Linked DNA regions of Schizosaccharomyces pombe. The protein of the gene in region 1 purifies or fractionates together with the protein of each later gene. This does not show direct contact. Each region holds a gene or a part of one and is shown in the gene's direction. Other genes may lie near its edges.

Region 1 (3,162 bases):
TCCTTTGTGAGAATCAGGTGCGGAAGATACGCGTCTAAGGCTGGGACGACTATCCAATTGATCGCTACTATCATTCAGATCTAATTCATTCAATTGATTAACATTAATATCAAAGGTTGAGTCATCAGAATCATTATCCCTCTGATCATTTCGGACACTAGTAGAAACGGTTGCCGCTCGATTCCTACGAAAGTGAAACAAATTTTTCAGTTTATCTGAAAAGTGCGACTGGCTCATACCATCATCGGTGGAAGAGGGACTTTTGTCATTAAATTCAGTTTCTCGAGCCATTCTAAGTCATCCATTAATCTCGTAGCGCTTCAAACATTCACCGGTTAATAAATTTCGCTGACGGCTCACTTATAATACCTAATATAAATCAGAATGTAAGCAAACTTGAAAAACGACTTCAAAGCTCCCAAATAGTCTAATATAACTAGCCGAATGGTATTCCTCCTGCTTATATTAATTCTTGTTTCATTTGGAGGTGTCGGCAAAAGAATAGTTAGTGGAGCCACGGCCATCCTTATGTTATATAATCCTCTTTTTAAGCATATAGAAATAAACAGTCATATTGTAGCATTAACTAACAAGCAGCTTCAAAATACTTAGTTGAAGCTATTGTAAATAAAAGAAAAAACTTGTTTTTGGTTTTTATGTGTGGGTATTGATCTGTAGTTTTGTAGTAAATTCAGTTTGAATAATTCTTACTGGAACAGAATAAGTGTTAGAATAAATGCAGTGATTTTTAATTTCATATTCTCAAGAGTGACTGTATGATTTATAAGTACACGAGCTATGGAAGCACAACATTTAATCATGTATTTCTTCCACTTTCAACTACAAAAGAGGCTACTCTAAACCCAAACATTATCCGAAATGTCGATGTACATTTGTCGATATCGCTGGCATTTTCAATTAGTCCGACTCATGTGGTATTAGTATGAGGATGGATAGTTGATTCGATATTAGAAGCTGTCATATCAATTTAAATATAATTTCTTAGCAGTGCTTTCATTGAGATAGAGCAATACGATAGAAACAATCTGAAGAATTCATTAAAACTGTTACATTAAAAAACGACTTGATGTCAATATTGTTTTTGGAATGTTTTTCATTAAATGAGAAAACAAAAAGATATAGCAGTTTAGTAAGTATCTCAATGCAATTTTTTAATAGGAAAACAGGTTCCTTAAGCAACTCTGAATAATTGTAAATAACCTGGTTTCAAACTTTCGTTGGCGGTTTGTGCTCACGAAGTCAAATAGGGAGGCAGTATGAACATTATAGATGAGTTGAACTAAAACTTTGAGTGGAAAACAATGTGTGTTTCATCCAAATAGTCGATTGCTTGTGTTTGTTTTTGAGAGCTCAACAGATAAAAGAGTGTGTACCAATTTCTGACAAACTTAAGATATATATTTGACAACAATGAAAAAATGTTTTATTTAAAGGTGTCAAAACACACATATACAAAAATCATTTATTCTCTGTTTTCCCAAGAATTTTCTAGTACGAAAGCCGATTCTTGAACATGGAAGTCGTCAGTCAATTATCAAAGTATAATTACGCATAATTTGTTTTTTTTAAATCTAAAAAGTAGAAAAAGTGAGTATTTTTTGCTTATTGAGTCAAGATTTCTTTGTATTTATTTATGTGCTTACTATCCAAACTCTACCACTTTGCTTCTTCTCTTGACGTGTCATATTCTTGGTTTTTACATAATTAACTTTACATTATTAGATTCTAAAACGTTAACTATAACATTTTTTGAATAAACAATAGTGAAATTTAGGATTGTGAGCGTTTTGGATAATTTTTTAGGAATTTTAAATCATACTGCAGTAACAGCATAAAAAAGGCATTTTCATTACAAAAATTTCATGCGTCTTAATGCTGAATTTTTGTCTCAGGTACCCTCATTCATCAGTCCTTTGAAAGAAACTGAGCTTGATTTAAGATATGTTTAAAGAAATTACTGTATGCTACGTGTCATCCAGCTAACTCATAATTACAGGGTATCAGATTCCAATAATTGAAAATTTAGGAGTGTTAAGGGACGTACACGATGCAATTGATTTCACAGACAATGACATTCGATATTTAGGGAATTTCCCTCGTATGAAAAGGCTTCAAACGCTTTTGTGTGGAAATAACCGAATAACTGCTATAGCCCCAGACATAGGTAAAGTTCTTCCGAATTTAAAGACTTTATCCCTAGCACAAAATCATCTTCAAGAAATAGCAGATTTAGATCCGTTGGCTAGTTGTCCTCAACTCACTAATTTGTCGTGCATTGACAATCCAGTTGCTCAAAAACAATATTATAGATTATATCTTATATGGAGAATTCCTTCGTTACATATTTTAGATTTCGAACGGGTTAGAAGAAATGAAAGGCTTCGTGCTGAAGAAGTGTTTGGTCAAATTCAAAACCCTACAGAAATAGCTTCCTCTATTATGGGTGTGAAAAGTCGAGTATTTGATTTGGCTGCATTGGTACAAAGCCACCCAGAAGCGAATTCTCCTATTACAACTGGATATACACTTACACCTGAGGAAAGAGAAAAGATCAAAGAAGCCATTAAAAATGCCTCTTCCATTGCTGAGATAAATCGACTGGAAGCTATGCTATTAGAGGGGAAAATTCCAAAATAAAGTAACTCACAAGATTTCTAGAAACCGCATAGTTATATAATACATTTTTTCCATCTCATTTCTTGCATTCGATAGGTAACGCGTTTAATAGTTATTTAAGGCATCAAATCGTTAATCGTAAACAAAAACCGTCAATTCTTTAATGCTGTAGCAATTTAGCAATCCTTTCGTTCCTCGTGAGTAATCAGAATTATGCTGTATTCATTAGCTTTAAATAGTAATGATAATCTTACCTTCCAAATATTCCGCAGTGACCAATAATTCTAAAACCATCTCAGGTGGGATATCGAACTTTGGAATATCTAATTGATTTTTATATCTGTAATTGTAATGCAAATATTCACAAACTTTTTCCAACAGTGTTGCCCTAGACACCTTATTAGAATTGAATGAATAGACCAATTGCATACCGTATATCAGGAAATGTGCATTCATTTTTTTGCGCCTCAGAAAATATTCCTATACATTAGAATTACTTTACTAAATATCATTATCAAACCTTCG
Region 2 (3,797 bases), on another chromosome or scaffold:
ATATCCGCCTCGCGTGGGGTCATAATACGCTTCCTGTATCTGCCTTGTCTCAATCTCAATCCCAAGTTTCAGATGAGGGCTTCGACAGAACTCTTTCCGCTAACCAAATTTTCGGTATGAATCAATCTGTCATTGGAGCAAACTCTGGCAGCTCAAACTCATCCGGCTCTAGCTTGAAGAGTGCACCTGTTTCACCTCGTACTGCTGCTGCGCAATCTTTGTTGCCAAACTCCGTTGTTTCCTCAATCAATGGCATGAACTCCGTAAATTTTTCAACCATTTCTCCACCTCCTTTGTCTCGTTCAGCCTCCATTTCTCCTACGTTGTCCGGTAGTGGCTCAGGTTTGACACCTCTTTCTTCCCATTTCCCTTCAGCTGCCACTGGCTTGGTAGGCGGACAGGTGTATCCTCAGTCTTCTGTTTTGCAATCCTCAAAAATTAATGGTTCTGCAAAGGTCCAGCCTAGTGTGAAGCTCCCCGAATGGTTGCAGCCTTTTTCCGGCAACAATCATAACTCCTTTGCTACTCAAGATTTATTAACACGTGTTTCCTCCTTAAAGTTGGTTGATGATGAGCAACCTGCTTCTTTGAATGGTTCAGCATTTCAAGCGAGAGCTTCTAGGCCTTGGAACCTAGGAAGGGAGCGTCAGTCTTCACTAATTGATCTCCGTCATGAGTTGGAGCAAAATGAAAACGGTTTGGAGAAATCCGGCTTTGGTTTGAACTTGAGAGGTCGCTTGCCTCCTCGTTCTTATTCTACATTTAATTGTACTGGTCAATACTTGCAACCTTCTCTACGCTTGTCACGCGATTCATAAATTATTTTTATGATGTTTGAAATGCATTACTACTACTACTATTTGTTTCTTCCACTTCTCTTCTTAAGTGAAGGGATTTCCCGAATATTCTTGTTTTATTTCTAATGTTTTTGTTTTAATTTTTTATTTATTTTCGTTTTTCAAAGGCATCCGTATAAGTTTTCGAGGGCTCCTGATCAAGTTAGTTTAATGTCTTAAAGAACTGAAGGGTGCTCTCGTGATTTTTTTTATTTTGTTTTGTTTTTATTCTTGTATGTTAAATCTCTCTTGTGATGTTTTTTATAACTGTTGAATATTATTTGTGCCAAGGATTGTTTTATTTATGATTGTTTTATTTTTCTTTCATTGCTGTTGTTCCTTAATGCACATATGTACATGAAAACTTCCATTGAGGTTTTTCAAACGTCCAAATCTTTTTTTTGGATCGATGAGTTATTTATATGTTTTATTTTAAAATGTCCTTTCCAAAAAATAATTTTGTTATTTTTTCTTCTGATTTTCTAAATAATTAAAAGCATTGTTTTTGTTTTCAACTTATATAATGGAAATTTTCCAGTGACTGTAGTAGATATTGGTAGCTTGTCGATTGTAGCTTTTCAATTAAAAGTTTTAAATCTGAAACTTGAATTTCAAACACATTTCTCTAAAATTAGTCGAAAAAAATGTAAGTCAATTGAACAAATACTTTTCTGATGCTTTGCATTATCCGATGCACCTCTTCAGTATGTGCCATAATATTAAATGCCCAAGTAAAGACATTTATGTTTATCCCTTTCTAATTTTCACAGAACATAAAAACATCATTTTAATTAAGACTTTATATGATTTTTTTTTTACAAAAATAGCTATTCAATATGAAAGATTGGTAGAAATATGTTTGCCTAGAAAGTAGCACCCATTTACCAACATGCGACGATACTTAAAAAAGGCGAAGCCTAAAATCGTGCAAACGAGCGACAATGAGGAAGAAAAGCATGAAGAAAATTTAAACGTTTCTCAATCAAGTAAGAACTTAAAAGCGCAAAAGTGCTTGGGCTCGAATAGAACTTATTATCGCAAGTGTACTAACAATGCTTAGACAAAAATGCAAATAGAAGAAAAACAAAAGCGAAAGAAAAAAATTCGGGAAAATTTAGGGTGAAATATGAGAACGAGGTAAGTTGTTTTTTGCTGGAAAACGTTTTACCAATTCATCTGTTATATTAACAAACATTGATTAGGAAGGAGACGACGATGGGGAGGATTCTCAAATCCCTTTGATTCCAAAGGTAAAAAAGCAAAGCTCTTTTCATTCGGTTGATGATTTGTAAGTAAAATGTTTTAAGTCCAAGTATTAGTTATCTAATTAATAAAGAATATCGCGAAGAATGGATGCTCTCTCGCATGAAAGTGGATACTCCAATGCTTATGTGGATGAGTTAAAGAGAAAAAGTAGGCAGACACCATCAGAATTTACAAAGAAGGAGGAGGATTCCTCGACCAAAGAAAGCGAATTGCAAACAAGATCGTCACCTCCTTTACCCGTTAATACTAGTTTGGAATGGAATATGCTTAATCAAGGCATTCCTGAGGAAGCAATGATTAAGGAGTTAAAGGATCGAGAAGGAAGAAAGAGAAACATTGCCATGATGACGGATAATTACATTTCACTTGAAACAGGGGACCAACTGATGTTGGCACAAAATCATAAAGAAGAGAAATTGCTTCAAACGGAAGACGAAATTCAAGATGAAGGTTACTCTGGATTTGAAAATTACGTGGAGGAGTCAGAAAAACTTCAAGAAATATACCACCATAGCTCGGAAAGTTTACGGACACGATCAATTCAAATGGCCGTCGACCAGAAAAATATGGAGATGGAATTGGACGATGAAGACATAGCAGAGCCCATCCAATCATGGGAACATACTCAAATCAAGAAAGGTGCCTTTGGAGAATCTCCTGCTTTTACAAATGGACTTTCTGTGAAGCTTCCTAATATTCTTACAATGGATGAACAAATTCAGCGGCTAAAAGAAGCAATAGCTTCTGAGAAGCTTCAGCAGGAGGAGCGTTCACAGATTATTAAATCACTTATGGAAGAAGAACTCGAGATTAATGAACAAGAGGAAAAGATTAAACATTCTTTCATTGATTTAGATAAAACTTTGTTGAACAACCTTACCAAAAGCAAATCCTGATTTACTTTGGATTTTTTAATTGATAAAAAAAAAACAAAGAAGAAAGACATGGTCGATAAATTTACTTAACGCTATAACTTAGATTTACATTTCTTACAGAACTCTTATCCTTGTACAGTATTAATTAGCTGTTACAGCCCATCGGTGACTTGTTGAAATAGAAAAACAGTGCCAAGAAGTCACCGGGAATTACAAAAAAATAATGACCCGATATTTATGGAGATAATAGATATTAATTGCTAGAAGATTTCATTAGCTTTATCACATATTAAAGTTATAGCCTCTGAGTATTCAAAACTTTAGTAAGTAGCATTGTCACTTACAATGGATTTTGTGTGTTGAAGAGAATACATTTTACCTACTGCCAAAAAGTGGGTTTACAATAAGACTTGTCATTTTATCGTCTCAATGGCTCTGAAAAGAAGCTATTATGCGTCAAAAGATGATTATTCGACGAAAAGAATCCTCGAAATTATCGAAAGGCCATTGAAGAAGCTTACAATAGAGGATACTTCAGAATATGATGGTATGTATACTATCGATTAACCTTTTGAATAAATTTAAAAGGGAAAGCGAATTCTCTTACAATATCCTTTATTCCATGTCAATATATTAACAGTCGGTGCAGATTCTGATATTGAAATGCCAACCTGCAAGCGTGTAGCTTACTACAAAAATGAGTACACAATTGTTGTAGAAGACTTGGATGCTGAACTGGAAGAAGATGACAGCATAAATAAGCCTACAGAAGAGGCTGACGAAGCTCCACGGACACAACTTTCTGTGATCTCTCCTTTGG
Region 3 (5,596 bases), 1.5 Mb from region 1:
CTTCTAATGAATTTATGCAGTCTTCAGGAGATGACGGGAATTGATCGTTGTTCTTTATGATATTTTTAAAACATTCAAGCGCATCTGGCATTAGGCTGGCGTCTTCAATTACGGATTCTTTAACAGTTGATAGGTACTGAAGATAGCTATCATCTATAATTACAGTTTTTTTAAGAAAAGCATACATAGTTCCAACAGTTATACTGGACCCAGCTTGTCTGTTCATAACAAAGTGGGTAGTAGCATCGCTATCGCGTAGTCCAGTCGGTATACCTGAAAGTTGATAAGAAGTGAAAAAAAAAAAGACCGAAGTACCTAAGAGGTTTAAATTTGAAGCCCACTGGGATAACATTTCAGGGTTATCGAATTGTATACACATACTTCTCCAGTATGCACTTAAAGTTAGTAAATCATATATAGTCGATAAAACTTACTTTATCGTGAATGGACATTTACCCAGTTGTATTTTAAGATCTTTTTCTTTGTAAGAATCACCATTTTGACCAACAACTTTTTCATTAACCTTGGTTCCAAACTTCGTATCGAGGTCCTTTACTTCAAACTCGCATGGGCCACCGGTAAACTGTGCACATATTAGCTGGCATTGATTTAAAATATAAGAAAGATAAACATATAATAGAAATGAAAAATGAAAAGCTCAATATTTCCATTTAATTGGATACGTACGTAGTCTTTCTCACTTGGGGTCAAAATCGTAAAACGAGCATGGCGTTTACTAATTGATTTAGAAATCACTTGAATGTGGGACGAATCGTCTGCAATATTAGAAAATTAACAAAAATAAGAAACTTACCAGATACATTTCGACCTACAATATAAGTTCCTGGAAATAGTATCCGTGATTTTCCTGCTGTTTAGTACGTACAATACGGCCATAATGAAATTGATATAGCTAGTAAGAGATACCTTTTAGAATGTCACCCTCAGCCTCAATTATCCACATTTTTTCAACATAAAATTCTTTTTATTGAAAAAATTCAGAAACCAGAATGCTGTTTTCACAACTGAGGATGCATAGGTGCGTCGCTTTTAATTTTAGTACAATTGAAAGTAACAAAGTAACCCTTTATGATGTCCAAAAGCCCTTCGTTAAATTAGAAGCTAAATCTACTAAACCAATTCTTGAATTTGAATTGACAAAGCTTGCTTTTCAAAGCTTTCTTCAAGAAAAAGTTTAATCAACAAAAACTCTTAAAAAATTTATAATTTCAAAAAATTAGACTTACACAGGTTCTCTGTCCTAGCCTTGCAAACACAAAAAATACTGTGAGTACACTAGAAAATGAATTTACTAAAGGGGTAAACTATCGTACCAAAATGAAATTTTTAAAGTCATGAGCTTATGTGAGCAAACAAACTTCAATTAAATACTATTTATCATACGTCGTGTATATGCACTACTGGATAACTTCTTTTACAGTTTAAAAAAGTCCATGCCTCTTTAAATAACTAACTTTATTTCTAGTTTTTACTACATTCCTTTATTTTTTAATCAATGAATTATCTATTACCTATCCTAATAAGCAGAAGTATGAGTTAGCTGTAGTGTTTCATTTTCGCTAATTGATATTAGCCAGGAATCTCTCATCCTCGCTAAACCTCCCTACAGCTTAATCTTCCTTAAACCATTACCATACGAATTTGCTGGTTTCATATTCGCCGTTTGCAATTTCTATGTTGGTTGCAAACTATTCTAGTGATTCAGAAGAACAGGAGAATTCCCAATCGCCTAACATCCAACCTCTTCTGCATACTGAAAATTTAGCGCCAGCTGTGGTTGATAACGTATTTATCAAATGTTTTTTATAACATGCTAATCATTTTAGGTAAAGGATGATTTAATTGTTTCAAAGGGAGGAAACTCTAGAGAATTAGCGCGTAATGTCCCGGTTAATGAAATGGTGCAGCCTGCTTTAGGGCCTGCAAATCCATTTGTCACTAAAGAACAGGATTCTATAAAGAACAGTATTACCGGTTATGCTGAGAGGGAATATGTTCCAAATTTTGTATTTAATCAAGAATATTATGCTAATACACATGCTATTTATGGAAAACGAAATTTTGATGATAACGAAGCTACTACTTCTACAGATTTAAAAAGGAAGTCCCAGAAAATAAAAGAACGTAGAGAGGATCCTGGCGATCCATCTATCCTTGAAGGGGATGGTGCTTATAAGGGGCCATGGGCCGGATACGGTTCTGAACAATCCTCTTCACCTTTGGAGTACAGTGAATATGAAGAGGTTGAATCCCTGGATGTCAAAAGTGAAAAGGATACGGAATCTAATAACCTGGGTCAAAATGAATTATTGAAGGAACAATTAGCTACTCCAGAAGTTGAAACTCATCGCTCTAAAGAAGAGACTATACTTCATAAAGATAGATTATTTGATTATCAAAATAGAAGCTATATGCATGTCCCGAATGACGTCGGAATAAATTTATCGGAAGAGCCTGGTGAACAAACTTGTTACATTCCAAAGAAGCATATATTCACTTGGAAAGGTCATACGAAAGGTATTTCCTGCCTTAGGTTTTTTCCGATTAGTGGCCATTTACTTCTTTCTGGCTCAATGGATAATCAGATAAAGGTATGTTTGTAAGCAAAAAGATGATAAACTAATATTTAGATTTGGGAAGTTTACCATGACCGTTCTTTGCTTCGTACATTCCAAGGACACGCTCGTCCTATCCGCGATTTATCATTTAGCCAAGATGGACGATCATTCTTAAGTACTAGTTTTGATAAAACAATTAAACTCTGGGATACCGAATTAGGGAAATGTTTGAACTGCTTTAATTCAGATAGATTAACAAACTGCGTCAAATTCCAAGTAGATCCTGATAAACCCAACGAGTTTTTAGCAGGAACAGCTGACAAAAGGATCCTTCAATTTGATATCAGAAGTCCTGATATTGTTCAAGCATACGATCATCATCTCGGCGGAATCAATTCCATAACATTCCTTGAAAACGGAAAGCGCTTCGTTACCACATCTGATGACTCTTCAATGCGATTTTGGGAATACGGAACTCCAGTTCCTATAAAATTTGTGGCTGACATTGCAATGCATTCAATGCCTCGGGTTGCCTTACGGCCAAATGGAAAGTCGATAGCATGTCAATCTCTAGATAACTGCATTTACGTATATTCGGCATACGAGAAATATAGACAAAACAAAAAGAAGGTCTTTAAGGGATACAGTTGTTCAGGTTATAGCCTAGAAGTTGGATTTTCACCTGATGGTATGGCGTTCATTTTTTATTACGAATTTCTAACTAGTTTTAGGGAGATTTGTTTTTAGCGGAGATTCGAGCGGAAATGCCTGTTTCTGGGGTAAGTGCTTGGAATTGGAAAAACACCTAACATTTTTAGATTGGAAAACCTGTAAGCTAATGGCTAAACTCCCGGCTCATAGTGGACCCGTACAAAGCATGGCGTTCCACCCTCAAGAAACAAGCAAGGTAGCTACATCATCTATAGTTGATGGGTCTATCAAATACTGGGATTAAAAAGATTGTTCATATTTCTTGACCAAACAGCGAAATATATACATTAAACTAACGTTTCTTCTATTCGCAAAACTTAAAACCTTCCCCAGTCTCAAAATCCTGAGATGCTAAAATATAGCAATCCATAGCCTTTCGGAATCTATTTTTGTATTGCTTTGGAGTAACAATTGTTGGTTCAGGACCTCTACCAACTAAGCCTTTCTCCTTTACCCAACTTTCAAGTTTTTTGTCCCAAGTGTATGTTCGTATGAAATCAATTATTCCAACATAAAGTTCTTTTTTTGTATAATCAATACCAACAATTAAAGAGTAATCCATGATATTGAGTTTTGAGAGGAACAATGTATCATTCCAAAGGCAAGAATGCAAAAGACTTTTTAGTTGTTCACTAACAAATATTGGAGATTCGTAAATAAGTTCAACCAAATTTTCATCAAGCAATACTTCATCTACCTTCCCTGTAGATTCTACATGTCGATTCCTCATGGAACCTTTAAGATCAAATATTCTAGACGGACATTCATCATAAAATACATTTTCCATAATCATTATATCAGTCTTACAGATTGTACCAGTAGTAGGATTTCGAATGTCTACGCGGTAAAATCCAAAGATTTTAGTCAATGCAGTTGGCAACTCGTGAAAGAAAACTTTAGATATGTAATCAAAATAAGCTGGAGCAAAATTAAGCAAGGAGTCACTTTCCAACCTTGACAGAACTTTGAGAATGTATTTCTTATCGAAAGTTTTTAAAAATGCTGATCCAGATTTTCCACCGCTAGATTCCCAAAGAGAACATCTCGCTAGAGATGTCACAAACGTCTCCTCACAGCCACAAGCTCTTCGCAAAGCACTAAATTGTTCCGCGAAAAAGACCTTACAGGATAGTCTTGCTGATCCTTCTTCAAACTGGTATTTCAAATGCGTCCCCGTTGGTTTGAGCATTAAGTTTTCAATTTTGAATTGCGTCGAGCCTTGTAAGCCTTGATTGGTTAAAGCTTCGTCCATGCTATCTTCAATTTCTACCATTTTTGATAAATAGTCAGGAGAGCTAAGAGTAAAACTTATCAAGGAGCTAGGTTCGTCTTCCCTTATGATCACATTTGAGTCGGAAAACATATGCTCTGTAGGTTGTAGAGGAAATTCAAAAGGTGGAGGATTGAGGGAGTTCCATTCATTCCAAAATGCAGATAAAATCCTGTAAACTGAAGTTTTGTCAGCCAAAGGACCAGAAGTTGGCAACTTTGATCCCTCTTTATCCATTTGACTAGAAGGTTCAAGGTTTTGCTGTTCTTCGAGGCCAGATTCATTTTTGAAAAGAATTCCAAAAATATCTTCAAACGCTTCAGGTGAATTGTCTTCATTCGAAGAAACATTTTCTCGCTCCTTGCTCATAGAATCAACTCCAGAAAAATTGCTTTCGGTAGCGCGATTTTCTTTTGTGTCATTAATGCCATTCTCATCTTCGGAATTTTCATCATCAAATGCTTCATTAAGGTCATTAAATACTTCTACTACCGGCTTAGATGGGACTACAGGAAGAGCCCGCTTGCGTCGAGCCTTTATTAATTCTTCATCTCGTTTTTGCTTTTCTTGTAATTGTAAACTTAGCTCTTCAAATCTACGCACTAAAGAGCTAACCCGCACATCTTTTGCTGGAATGGGCTTCCTGGGTGAGTATTTTGTAGAATTCTGTATACTGGAAATTTTTGCAGATATTGAAGAAGAAATAGGCATGTTCATCCCACTTGTTGAAGATGCATTGACAAATCGCCTGTCACTGGTACTAGCACTTTTCCGCTTATGAGAAAGCATATTAACGCCTTGTCTTTGGCTTATATTTGGATACGTTTGTCTACTGAAACCTGAATTTGAGACCGGAGAAGCTGGAAAAGTGTTCTGAGTAGAAATATCATTGGTAAAATCGATGTTGGCTTTAGGAATATCGGAAGATGTTGCTACTGAAAAGCAATCAGATTCTGGAGAACCAACATTTGCCATACTATCTGCATACGGAGCAACACGCTTGTTTGAAGCAACATTAGTTTGGGTAACTTTCTCG
Region 4 (4,339 bases), on another chromosome or scaffold:
CCAGTAAGTTCCATCCACACAAGAGCCACTAAGAACGCCCCATTGTTCTTCTTCCAAATCAAAGTCACGCTTATTTTCAGTCTCAACTTCGTATTGTTGAAGGACGTCTAGGTATCGTTCATCATGAGTCATGTACAATTGCTCACTTGAGCCAATGATAGATGCAGTGCTTAAAGGCGTTGACCCTTCACTCTCATTTAATCCGTTTATTGAAGAAGACATGTTATTATTGAGAACATGATCAACGCTAATGAAATAAAAGCTGTTGCAGTCTTCTTTTTAATATTTTTTTGTTTACCACATTACCAGACGTGGTTTGTGTTCTGACAAAGATCAAACTCGGTATTCTAGTGAATTTCGCTAATATACTAAAATCCAAAGGAATATATAAATGTAGAGTATCTCTAAAATTTACGGGTTTTAAACATAATAAAAAAATATAAATCGTGCTAAAATCTAGCTTACCGCTTATTGAGTACAAATTTTTTGCGCATGTACAAACACCTTAATCAAAACTGTGAACAAAAAATTGAAAAAGGCTGAAATGCATATATCAGACCAAGAAAAACTCCGTATATGTAATGATCTCTTGTAAAGTAGTTTGTTAACTTCCAAAAATTCTCAACCTGAAAAACGAATGGACAATTGAATTCAAATATCATTTTATACCAACCATATTCATAAATATAAAAAAAGGGCAAGATGCGTCAAACAACGTGTGCTTGAAGTTCCTAATTTAACGTCTTATTTTCTTCTTTAAACGACGTATTTTTTCTTTTCTTCTGTCCTGTGTACGTTCAAATTTGCTCTCATACCGAAATTTCTTTTTGGCGGCATTTTTAGGCTTGTGGGGACGCAAAGGAACATCTGGTGGAGGAGAAATACGAGGCGTGACAAAACCTTCTTTAGGATAAGCAATTTCTTCATCATCATCGTCCTCTACAATTTCTACCGTAACATGCTTATCATCTTCGTCATACTCAGTAGTTTTAGGCTCCATTGATGACTCTTCCTCGCTGTCAGATTTAGATGAGGAATCTTCTTGCTGTGAAGATTCTTCATCATTTTCTAGCGAGCTATTCAACTCTTTAGAGAATGCTAATCGCTCAGCCAGTTCTCTTTTGCGCTGTTCTCTGAGCTGAATAGTGTTAGTGATATACTCAAGATAGTATTAGAAAAACTTACAGATTTCCTCAACGCTAAACGTTCTTCGCGTTTTTGCTGCTCCAATTGAACTTGAGCATGCTTTCGTCGTTCAACTTTGCGTTTATGAAATCCAGTTAAATACTCTCTGTAACAAGTTAGTAGCAATCCCTTTATGATATCCATACTTTCGCTTCTCTTTATCAAAGACGATCTCCTCCAATCTTTGCTTCTTCCCTTTCTTCCTGCTGTAAATCTCACCTCCACGGGTTAGTAGAGATGTATTATCCATGATGCAACAGTTCGTGAGTAGCTAGAAGAGAGGGACAATTTATGGGAATCTGTAGTGATTTTAAGTAAATTATCTCCAATTCTATCCAGTCTCGTAATGGTCCAGTAGATTTATGAAGACGAGAGGTACTGAAACCCTACTATGCCTTGTACGTACATTTGCACTACTAACTAGAAAATTATTTGCAAAATGCATCGCATTTGCCTTATATTATATACGGATATTGGTATAGTGCAGTAAACGATTAGTTGGCTATGCATTGCTTTCCTCTAGCTATTACACACAGAAACCAACGTGTGCCGAATGTTTTGCTCAATCAGTGGAGAAACGCCAAAAGAACCGGTGATTTCTCGTGTAAGTGGTATGTTTGTACAATAATTTCCCTGTCTGACTGAATGTAGGAAATGTTTACGAGAAGCGCTTGATTGAACAAGTTATTCGTGAAACGTCTAAAGACCCTGTTACTCAACAGGAATGCACGTTGGAGGACTTGGTTCCTGTAAAGGGTAAGATTTCCTTCTTTATTATTGAATGGTTAAGAATTTCAAGTAGCACTTATTTTTTTATACGTGGAGTACTGAATATTCTGAAATTGGTTTGGAAAGTAAAACCCTGCAATATTGGTTGAAGAACTCGTTTATTTTCTTTTTTTTGTTGATAATGTATTTTATTGCATGATTGATTTGTACTCGAAATTTTTTAATTTTACAGCTTTATATTTCTCCTTAAAAAGTGGACTATTTAGTGCATGTCAATATCTCGGGGCAGAAATTAGGAAGGTTTTTAGAGAATTATAGAACAACCTTGTCGGATTTATCAAAACAAATCTTTATCAAAATTAATGTGGAGTTGTTGAGGAAAATGTATTAATACTTTAGATTTTTTTTGGTTTTTGCTCTCCAATGCGATTTATATTTACTATATTTTGATTGTACTGACCATTCACATATAAAGCGAATCAAATCGAAGATAATTGCTAACCTTTAAACAGTACCTGATTTTGTTAGACCTCGACCTCCTTCTGCCACTTCATTGCCTGCATTGCTGTCTCTCTTTCAAGAAGAATGGGATTCTGTCGCGCTTGAGCAATTTGAACTTAGAAGAAATCTTACAGAGACGAAGCAGGAGTTATCAACGGCATTGTATTCGCTAGATGCTGCGTTAAGAGTTATATCTCGGCTTACCAAAGAAAGAGACGAAGCTAGAGAAGCATTGGCGAAATTTTCCGATAACATAGGCACTGTTTCCTCGAAAACTATTGAAGTACAAGAGGTAGAGATGGGCGAAAGTGATGACCAGCTTAAAACTAGCTTACGCTCTACGGTGGAAAAAACATTTCAAGAACTTTCTTCCAAAAGGAAACGTACAAAGTTACAACCTAAATGGGCGACTGACGATGCTGTGAGTCAGCTCTTGCAAGCTACTCCTTCTACTATCTTAGAAAATTTGGAAACAGAAAGCACTACGTCTTTCTTCCCGTCCCCTGAAAATTCTTCTTTTGTATTATGTCTTCATAAGGATGAACTTTTATGTCTAGATATCCAATCCAACAGTACTCTCAAAATTTTTGAAGGATCAGCTTTAGCGTGTTGTTGGTTGACTTCTTCCAAGATTGCTGTCGCTACTGCTGATGCCATTTCAATTTTTGAATTTCCTGTTTCCTCATCTGGTTTACAAAGTGTGGGTGAACCTACTTCGTCCATTCCTATAGACGAAAAGGTGAACTTCCTTCAAGCTCATCCAAGTGGGGAATATTTATTAGCAGCATCAAACGAAAAGTGTTATATTTTCTCCCTGAAATCCCAGGTTTATAATATCACCGTTGCTCAACACATTACATCTCTTGCTGTACATCCGGACGGTAACCTCTTTGTCGCTGGGTTAGAGAATGGCGAGTTACGCTTTTTTGAGACTTCCTCGGGAAATGAGCTTACAAAATTTGGACCACATTCAAGTCCAGTTAAAACATTACAATTTGGTGAAAACGGTTATTGGCTTGTAGTAACAACTAATGATGACTCTGACATTTTCATTTGGGACTTAAGAAAATCTGAGCTTGTTCAAAAAATACCCCTACAAACCAAAGTCGCAGCAGTGTCATTAGATATTACTAGTCAACTTTTGGTAAGTTCGGATGGGGAGACTCTCTATGTACATATTTATGTCAAATCTTCAAAGTCTTGGAGATGTATGAGTCAAACCCATGTTTCCTCTATTTCTAATTTGGTTTGGTTAAATGAGTTACACCAGTTGTTGTTTAGTACTTCAAATGGAGCCATTCTCCGGTTGGGTTAACCCAATTTTTAATCCTTTAATTATGTGCTCCTCCATTAGGCTTTTCGTATTTAGTAAGATTTTGGCTCTTTAACTTAAGTGATTTCCTTCATAATGAAATATTTAGGCAAACTATTATTTTTCAGATAGATGTATCATTAAATTTTGACATTTGGTTTAATTGGCAAAAAATAATTTATGTGAGTTAACTCAAGTGTCAGAAACAGTGGGAGCCTCAGTTGTTTCTGATGCTTCTGGTTCAATTAAACTGACTTCCAGTAAATGATTTTGTAGTTTAGTAAGAGTTCTTTTAACTTTCTCAAGATCAGGCTCGCTGTAATCGACAGTCGGAAAAGACGTGGAAAGAGAATTAGTGAGCCAATATGATTTAATTTGTCGAGAAACATCCAGTAACTGTTCTACCGCGCGAACCATGGACACAGTATGGCATTCAATCTGGTAAACCTCTGGTGCTACCGTATATTTATCTTTGCCTTCATTTATAGCAATATCCAGTATGTCTTGAAACCTTGACAAAATAGTTAGTGTAGCATTGTCAATAGACGAATTTAAAGTATTAGTTCGCTGAACTAGCTGCCGTTGGAAACTGTCTGAAGACATACTAGCTTT

What was found.
Region 2: the proteins of lea1 (region 1) and ntr2 purify together in Schizosaccharomyces pombe (affinity purification with mass spectrometry; 2 studies listed by BioGRID). This does not show direct contact.
Region 3: the proteins of lea1 (region 1) and prp17 purify together in Schizosaccharomyces pombe (affinity purification with mass spectrometry; 2 studies listed by BioGRID, with this or other methods). This does not show direct contact.
Region 4: the proteins of lea1 (region 1) and prp19 purify together in Schizosaccharomyces pombe (affinity purification with mass spectrometry; 2 studies listed by BioGRID, with this or other methods). This does not show direct contact.

Annotation. Positions count from the first base shown.
Region 1 is NC_003423.3:4,144,785-4,147,946, reverse strand, and holds lea1 (U2 snRNP-associated protein Lea1), read left to right. Parts: upstream 1-1,676; 5' UTR 1,677-1,883; coding exon 1,884-1,964; intron 1,965-2,025; coding exon 2,026-2,658; 3' UTR 2,659-2,662; downstream 2,663-3,162. Other genes in the region: serine/threonine protein kinase Ppk22, read right to left, coding at 1-291; elc1 (elongin C), read right to left, coding at 2,849-2,853, 2,892-3,025, 3,069-3,117, 3,158-3,162.
Region 2 is NC_003424.3:3,567,468-3,571,264, reverse strand, and holds ntr2 (spliceosome complex disassembly protein Ntr2), read left to right. Parts: upstream 1-1,719; 5' UTR 1,720-1,725; coding exon 1,726-1,822; exon of another isoform or gene 1,823-1,896; coding exon 1,897-1,973; exon of another isoform or gene 1,974-2,038; coding exon 2,039-2,124; exon of another isoform or gene 2,125-2,172; coding exon 2,173-2,998; 3' UTR 2,999-3,283; downstream 3,284-3,797. Other genes in the region: RNA-binding protein Csx1, read left to right, coding at 1-818; SPOM_SPAC17A2.07C (uncharacterized protein), read left to right, coding at 3,407-3,524, 3,627-3,797.
Region 3 is NC_003423.3:2,649,951-2,655,546, forward strand, and holds the start of prp17 (Prp19 complex WD repeat protein Prp17), read left to right. Parts: upstream 1-1,643; 5' UTR 1,644-1,695; coding exon 1,696-1,806; exon of another isoform or gene 1,807-1,847; coding exon 1,848-2,612; exon of another isoform or gene 2,613-2,651; coding exon 2,652-3,267; exon of another isoform or gene 3,268-3,310; coding exon 3,311-3,358; exon of another isoform or gene 3,359-3,397; coding exon 3,398-3,534; 3' UTR 3,535-3,594; coding exon of another isoform or gene 3,595-5,596. Other genes in the region: Mre11 complex BRCT domain subunit Nbs1, read right to left, coding at 1-273, 316-395, 435-583, 688-776, 815-868, 928-964; 1-phosphatidylinositol-3-phosphate 5-kinase Fab1, read right to left, coding at 3,595-5,596.
Region 4 is NC_003424.3:5,131,504-5,135,842, forward strand, and holds prp19 (Prp19 complex subunit, ubiquitin-protein ligase E4 Prp19), read left to right. Parts: upstream 1-1,719; 5' UTR 1,720-1,738; coding exon 1,739-1,796; exon of another isoform or gene 1,797-1,836; coding exon 1,837-1,941; intron 1,942-2,280; exon of another isoform or gene 2,281-2,426; coding exon 2,427-3,730; 3' UTR 3,731-3,839; downstream 3,840-4,339. Other genes in the region: RNA polymerase I upstream activation factor complex subunit Rrn5, read right to left, coding at 1-222; rRNA exonuclease Rrp17, read right to left, coding at 737-1,138, 1,186-1,291, 1,332-1,435; srb6 (mediator complex subunit Med22), read right to left, coding at 3,920-4,330. UniProt on the Schizosaccharomyces pombe protein: Probable ubiquitin-protein ligase involved in pre-mRNA splicing. May also function in DNA repair.